2 linked regions of the Mus musculus genome follow. The protein of the gene in region 2 purifies or fractionates together with the protein of the main gene of each other region. This does not show direct contact. Links are inferred from orthologs where the notes say so. Each region holds a gene or a part of one and is shown on either strand. Other genes may lie near its edges.

Region 1 (3,651 bases), on a different chromosome or scaffold from region 2:
ACCCAGTAGAAGTTCAAAAATTCTTCTGAAGGTTTCTAATTTTACTAGAAAAATTACTATGACACAAAACTGTACATGACAAGTGGGCTGTGATTCTTAAGAAGTGAGCACATTTTGCTAGGTGACCGCTTACATTATTCAGAAGCACAATTCTCACAAACGAGCAAACCAATCCTAGTAACAGCAACCCTGTGATCCAGCAAGACAGACATTACCGTCCTGATCAAAGCTAAGCAAAAACCAATTTACTCAAGGGCAGAGCCACTAAATGACTAGAGACTAGAGCAGCCTCTTACTTGCTTACAAAGGACTCTCTATACCTTCTGGCATAGCTTATTAGGGAAGTAAATGGGAATATGTCTATCTATTTAAAAATAAACAAAAAACACCCCAGAAATGGAAAAAGAAAAAGATGAGTTCAAATTTGAGACTTCTCTTGTCTATGCAGTGCCCACAAATACTATTTTTTAGTTAATTAGTTCAGCAGTGGTTTTTTCACCGTTTTGAGACAATTTCACACACCCCACAATAGCCTAGAATTTTACCTGGTAGCTGGCCATTGACTCCATCCTCCTGCCTCAAGCACTAAAACTAAAGGCATGTGACACAGCACCCAGTTTAAGTCATGCTGGAGATCAAACCTAAGGCTTGTAGGCAAGCAGTAACAAGCTATATCCCTCGCCTCAAACAGTTTTAAACAGCTTTTTAAAAAATGTGGTTTTCATTTTTTTTCCTTTTAAAAATAAGTGTTTTGCCTGTACTCAATCATATGAACCATGAGTATGCCTGTTGTCCCTGGAGTTCAGAAGAGTGTGTCATTCCCTGAAACTGGCATTACATGTTTGTGAGCCACCATGTGGATGCTAGGAGGCAAGCTTGGGTCCCTGAGCAACAAGTGACCTCAAAAACTAAGCCCGTTCGTCTTTTCACTTTCATCTCACTCTCTCCCAGACTGGCCCGACTTGTAACCTTTCAGCCTCAGCCTTCTGAGCACTAGGACTGCAGGCAAGAACAACTATGTTAGACCTTCATTTTCTTACAGCCTTGATCTAAAAAAACCCTACTGGCCATGTTTAAGAGAAAATAGTCCTGTATTTATAAATGAAAATATGATGCACCAAAATATGCACTTTAGATTTCCTGTGCTTTAGAGACTAAGTGTTTAAGAACTGCTGGGTAGAGGCAAAGATGGCTCAGTAGTTAAGCAGTGCTTGCTACTCTTGCAGAGGGCTTGGCTTGGGTTCAGTTCCTAGTTTCCTAACAGAGCAGCTCACAGCTGCTTAGAAACTCCAGTTCGGGGCATCCAACACCTCCTTCTGATCTCCAAGGATCCAGATCCTGTACACATGCAATGCACATACACATTATTTAAAAGTTGCTTGTAGGATCCCCAACTCAATTATAAATCCAGGGAGAAGAAAGTAAATAGAACAGACCTCAGGATAGACTTCTGTATGAGAAGGACATTACATCCTGTTTTCTTAATTTGCTTCACCAAATTTAAAATATAGGCTCTCTCCTCTCGAAGCACTCGATCCATCTGGGCATAGTCAGATACTACTATTTGATTATCCATCTGATGGGAACAAGAACACAGTAATTATTTTCAGCAAGAGATTTTAATGTTAAGTGAAAGACCAGCCCACACCTACCAGTTATATAGGTATGCACAGAAAAGGGTCTAAAATAAACCATTCTATTATGTTTTATTTCAGTTGTTTTTGTATTTTTTTTTAAAAGTCAGGGTTTCTTGGTATAGTCAAAGCTGTCCTGGAACTTAACTTGCTCCAAACACAAGGTTGGCCTTGAATTCAGGAGATCTACCTGCCTCTGCCTCTAAAGTGCCAGGCATTTGTCAGTACCGCCTGGCTAAAGCTTATTTTTCTTTTTTAATATAAGATTTATTTTATGTATGAGTACACTGCAGTTATCTTCACATACTAGGAGAGGGTATCCTATCCCATTACAGATGGTTGTGAGCCACTATGTGGTTGTTGGGAGTTTAACTCAGGACTTCTGAAAGAGCAGTCTAACCACTGAGTTATCTCTCCAGCCCCAGCTGATTCTTTTCAGTCACACCCATTACTGATATTTTGTATGTTTGAAAGACAAGACCTCACTATGTAGCTCACAGCTCAAGCTGGCCTTGAATTCACCATCCTTTGAGTACCAGAATATAGATACATATGACCACACGAGGCTCTACTGCTTCTGAAACTTTTTGCATGTGCATTTTTGGTAACTGAAAAATCCAAATTCCCCAAAATGAAGTTGTTCTACATACCATATGTATTACAGAAATAATTTTAATTCCATCCTTTTTACTCTGTGGCTTGTCATCATATATAATGCACAAAAATTAAAGATCAATTTTCATATGGCTATTTTTTTGAACAAAATACTGAACACACCTATATGTTGGCAGAATATAGTAAAAACAAATCTGAGGTACCAACACACTTTTTAGAGAATCATACTAATATGGTAATATCTTTCATAAAAAAAATTTTTATAGTTTGGCTATCAAGTTAGTCTAAGGCTCCACTTGCACAAACACAATCTTTGTGGGCTCCAGCAGGTAATATCTCAGGAAGCTAGACACAATCTGCAAACTCAAGGAATGAGTACAACACACACACACACACACACACACACACACACACACACACACCTTTCTATTTTATGCAAATGCCTATAATCAGTCTCCACCTTATTACTTGTAGTAGCAACAATTTCTGATTTTGTCTCAATTTTATTGTTTTGAATCTACATTTTAAAGACATCACTAATACCAGCATTTTCTATTTTCATCTTAAAAAAACAGATCTTACTAGAAAGTTAATAAGTAGGAAACCAGCTTGGATTTTACTTACATCTGTTTTAGGAGCAGATAAGCAAAACTGAATAAGCCCAATCTTAGCCTTTTCAACTCTTGTTATGCCAGAATTTGCTACTTTCTGTGTGAGAACGAGGCCTTCCACCAGCTCACAGTCATCTATTGTCCCACTAGGAAAAAATAATCAGAGCAGAGGAAATGCTTTGGTCTTACTCATTCTCAGAACCCATTCTGGGACCTCTTGGATATACTTCCATCCTACCATAAGGAAATACAGGCAAACCCTTGAGGATACCATATATAATAAAGTTTAAGTCAGCAAGTATTTCTAATGTTCACTTTCAGAGTTATTTTCACTTATGTTACATCCACTGGCCCAGGCAGAAAGGTAATCGGACTAAGAACATCTTTGTTTTTAAAGGGTTTTGTGGAGACAGAACCTCACTCTAGCTCAGCCTGTCATGGAACTCACTATTTATTCCAGGCTGGCCTTGAACTCATAGCTAGCCTCCCACCTCAGCCAATCAATTGCTGGCACTAAATGTATAAGCCACCCCTAGTTGTTCTTCAAAGTTATCTGGTTTTGGCAAAACTGAAATTGAAATCAGAGACGCTTACCCAAGCTTCTTAACTATTTTAATATCTCGAAGATCTACACTGGTAGCTGTGGCTGGGTCAATCACTTTCATCACCGCATTGACACTCATTGGAGAGAGTAGACTTGAATACTGAGAGACAACCTAGATTTACAACAGAAAGTTACTTCTACAGAAGCAATAATTTAAGAAATACCGACTTTAGATTTACAAGGACTT
Region 2 (3,751 bases):
TGGACTACAGAAATGAGCAGAACATCCTGGGCTAACTGAAGGTCAGGAACACCCCAAGGGGATACTGAAACCCTCATATCTGATGAGGTTCAAAGGAAAAGGCCTGCTTTCCGTGAAGCTGATTTGGGGTTCAAGTCCTGCTGCTTGTCCTCAGCTAGACCCTTACCTTGAGCCTCTTTTGAATAGTAATTCTGATAACCTCCCAGTCACTTGCCTTTACTCTAATATACTTTCTACACTGCCACTAAAAATCCTCTAAAAATCCTTTCAAGACTACGGATTCAGCTCAGTAATAAATGCTTATCTACCACGCTGAAGCCCTGGAATCGATCCTCAGTATATAAAGTGATGCCAGGTGAGAGAAAACTTGGAGAAGCCACTCCACTGCTAAAACAACTCTACTGATTTCTACCCTTAGTGTACAAAAAACTTAAACTTTTCAAGCTCTGCGCTCCACGCTCCACGCTCCGAATCCCGCATTCCTATTTGGACTATCCGGATCTTCAGATCATAACTAACTCCCTCACCACCCCGATCCACGATAGCATTCAGGCTCTCCCTCTAACCAATACGACCCCCGGAGGGTAGGCTTCACCTCCTTCAAACAGCCCAGTGCAGGGCCGCTCACCTTGACTGGCGGGGCAGTCGCCGGCCTAACCTGTGCTGTCGCGGCCCCTAGGCCCACGATGGCTGGGGCCGCCTCCACCCATTCGGGCTCTTCGAACATACCACCCGTAGCCCGCAGGGCCGGAGGAGCCTACGCTCTGGCCCACGTGCAGCGCGCGTCAGGGAATCCTAGGGCTGGAGTCGGACCAAACCGGGCCGGAAGCCACCGAGTGAAATTCTGTGGTAGCTAGAGCGGCCTTCGCGGAGCAGAGCACCATAGAGCGTAGCCGCTGGCGAGCTAGAGAGGCAGTAGGAGGTCGGAAGGGAGGGACCGCGGCCCGCGCTGGCCCGAGCTGGCCGGGGCGGGCCGGGGCGGGGCCGGGCGGCGGGCGCGGCCGGACGGGAGTTCCCCCGGAGAAGGCGCCTGCGGCCCGAGTCCCGGTGAGTGTGGGTAGCTCCGCGCCCTACCCCACGCTGTCTTGCAAACCCGTCTCTGCGATCTCTGCAGCAGTTCTGAGCCGGGGCCGCCGGGCAAGGACCCCTGTCCCCTCCCCCGGGTGTTTGCAGCTTGGGTCCCTTCCCCCACCCCCAAGCCTTGCTCGAGGGCCGGGGCTCAGAGCCGGCTGACACCAACTCGGGAAACTAGCAAAGTCTACCCTACACCCCCAGACCCTCCTGCTCCTCGAGCCAAGGGGTCGTCCGCTGCCCGAAGCCCTTCATAGACAACCACTGTCCCTCTCGCGACGCTCCCCATCCCAGCACTGACACCTCTGTCCTGAGGGAACTCACACAGAGAGTCATTCTCTTGTCTCTGTTCTCCCTCAGTCCCCCGAGGCTTCCCCAGTCCCGGGGTCTCTGTGCCGGGACGCTGCTATGGACGACATTTTCACTCAGTGCCGGGAGGGCAACGCGGTGGCGGTGCGCTTGTGGCTGGACAACACAGAGAACGACCTCAATCAGGGGTGAGCTGAAGCGTTGGCGAGTGAGACGGCTACAAGTCCTCTCTCCGCTACTCGGGGTGCTCATGTCTGGCGGGGGCGGCTGACTTTGCTATCCAGTGTAAGGAGTAGTAGTAGTAAGCAAAGCCTGTTGATGGAGGAACGTCTACACAGAGGAAGCTGTCGGAGTTGGGTTTGTTTTTTTTTTTTTTTTTTTTAAACTAAGTTTCACAATCCGGTTCCCGGGAACTTTGCAGCCTCTATGAACTCATGTCAGAGGCAGACCTGAGTGCCAGAAAATTGTCTGGAATTACATGTAGCTGGAGGATGAGTTTCTGCGCCCTAGAGCGTTGGGTAGAAGTGGGAAAGGATATTAGAGGTCTAAAGTTCTGAAGCTTATGTAGTGATGAGAGTACCCATTTGTCAGGCGTCACCCTGGACGCAATTGCCTTAAAGTGATGTTTTGGATACAAGAATTGAGACAGGGTTGGGGTGAGAGCCCTAAAATCATAAGGATGAAGTAATTGAGTTGGTATGGGATGTGAAGGGGTTGTCAAAGATGACCTGGGGTTTAAAAGGAGGTTTGGGTACTTGGATACTTGGCAGTTGCTGAGGTTCCATTATGGACTGGCCACAGTTTTGGTGACACTACAGTGACTTGGAAACGCTTGGCAGGTTGTTAGTCATGCAGATTTAAAGTTCAGGAGGTCGGATTGGGAGACCAAGATGCCACAAATAGCATTTAAATGGTATCTGAAGACTCTATAATGTGGAATGTAGTACCTTAGAAGAGTAGAAAATAAAGGCAGAGGTTGAGAAGCCTGGCTGACAGGGAACAACCATCAGAATAAGAAATAAGAAATGGATTAAGATTAGAGAATGGATGTTTTAATAAAAGAAGAGTGGTTAATTGTAGGCTACTGAGAAGTTAAAGAGCATGGATGAGCATTTAAAAAGTCTCATTTCACTTACATTTAGGATGAATTTGATCTTTTGAATGCTATTGCAGAACAGTAACAGGAAAGTGCATTACAGTGGGTTCCTTCACATAAGGAACCACTTGTGGTTGCTGCTAGAGTCTTTGAATCAGACATAATCTACACGCTAGAGATGGCAGGCTTCTCAGGGAGAAAAGTGAATGGGAGGTGAGGAAACAGATACTATGAACACTTTCTGAAATACTGGCTGATAACAGAAGCAACAAGTGCAGTGTTGAGAGTTTAGTTCGTAGTTTTTGGTTTGCTTTTGGAGACAGGGTGTCATGTAATTCAGAATGGCCTCCAGCTCTCCATCCTACTGCCTCAATCTCCTGAGTGCTGGGATTCCCATTTGTTGCCACTGTATCTGACTATAAGAGTGTATTTTTTTTTTTTTTTTTTTTTTAGGTTGGGAAGGATCATCTTTGGTCCTAGGCTAGGTTTCACTAGCTTTCATTAGGCTGTATGTTATTTCTCTGCTAGATTCAAGGTTATTTGTTTCATTTTTTCCCACATAACTTGTGTGCTCTGGTAAAAACTAAGCTGTCCTGTTTTGTTGGTAAGAAAATAGAAGTTTAGGCTGTTGTCCAGTAGGAGTGGCATCTTGGAAGACTCCTTGCTGTCAAAAGGTGAAGGATATCATTAGGGAAACCAGAAAGCTATGGTGGCTTGAGGGGACAGGGCGTGGGTGCTGGAGGTGGTTAACTCCCTGAAAGCTTTCTTGAGATAGAGATCCAGGCCCTGAGGTGACCGTCCTCAAGCTTGGGCTTGCTTGGAGGCCACAGACTTCTGGAAGTTGTTCAGTCAGAACATGTGAAATCTGGGAGACAAGAGTGATAGCAAGGGATAGACTTATATCCGGGAAAAGCCTTTGCTGAGTTTAACAGATGAGGGCAAACTAGAGGAACAATTATTTAAAGCTACATACTTCCTTCAGCTGTTGGGGGATTCTAGTTGACCAAGCCAGGATCAGCTCAAGGCCCCTCCTCCAGTCCCCTCACAGGAAGTGACCACAGCACTAAAGTATCTGGAGGCTGCAGGCCTAGACCACAGACCGCCCCCTGTTCCGCCCCTCAGATCTGCATCCCTGGGCTGGAGGGAATTTCCTTTTATGGCTTCAGGCTGTCAGTTTGACCCAGCCCATCCAGTTGTTTTGTTTGTACACTTCTCTTTATAAAATATATGTCCTTAGGGGATGAAAATACAAATCAGGTAACGGTTTTTATTCAA

What was found.
Region 1: the proteins of Ilk (region 2) and Cct4 purify together in Homo sapiens (affinity purification with mass spectrometry; 4 studies listed by BioGRID and IntAct, with this or other methods). This does not show direct contact. The link is inferred for Mus musculus from reciprocal best matches to the Homo sapiens genes ILK and CCT4.

Annotation. Positions count from the first base shown.
Region 1 is NC_000077.6:22,996,958-23,000,608, reverse strand, and holds part of Cct4 (T-complex protein 1 subunit delta), read right to left. Parts: intron 3,577-3,651; coding exon 3,455-3,576; intron 3,007-3,454; coding exon 2,874-3,006; intron 1,577-2,873; coding exon 1,437-1,576; intron 1-1,436. UniProt on the Homo sapiens protein: Component of the chaperonin-containing T-complex (TRiC), a molecular chaperone complex that assists the folding of actin, tubulin and other proteins upon ATP hydrolysis.
Region 2 is NC_000073.6:105,735,670-105,739,420, forward strand, and holds the start of Ilk (integrin-linked protein kinase), read left to right. Parts: upstream 1-920; 5' UTR 921-1,047; intron 1,048-1,055; exon of another isoform or gene 1,056-1,137; intron 1,138-1,395; coding exon of another isoform or gene 1,396-1,479; coding exon 1,480-1,568; coding exon of another isoform or gene 1,569-1,632; exon of another isoform or gene 1,633-1,716; intron 1,717-3,751. Other genes in the region: Rrp8 (ribosomal RNA-processing protein 8), read right to left, coding at 1,396-1,632. UniProt on the Homo sapiens protein: Scaffold protein which mediates protein-protein interactions during a range of cellular events including focal adhesion assembly, cell adhesion and cell migration.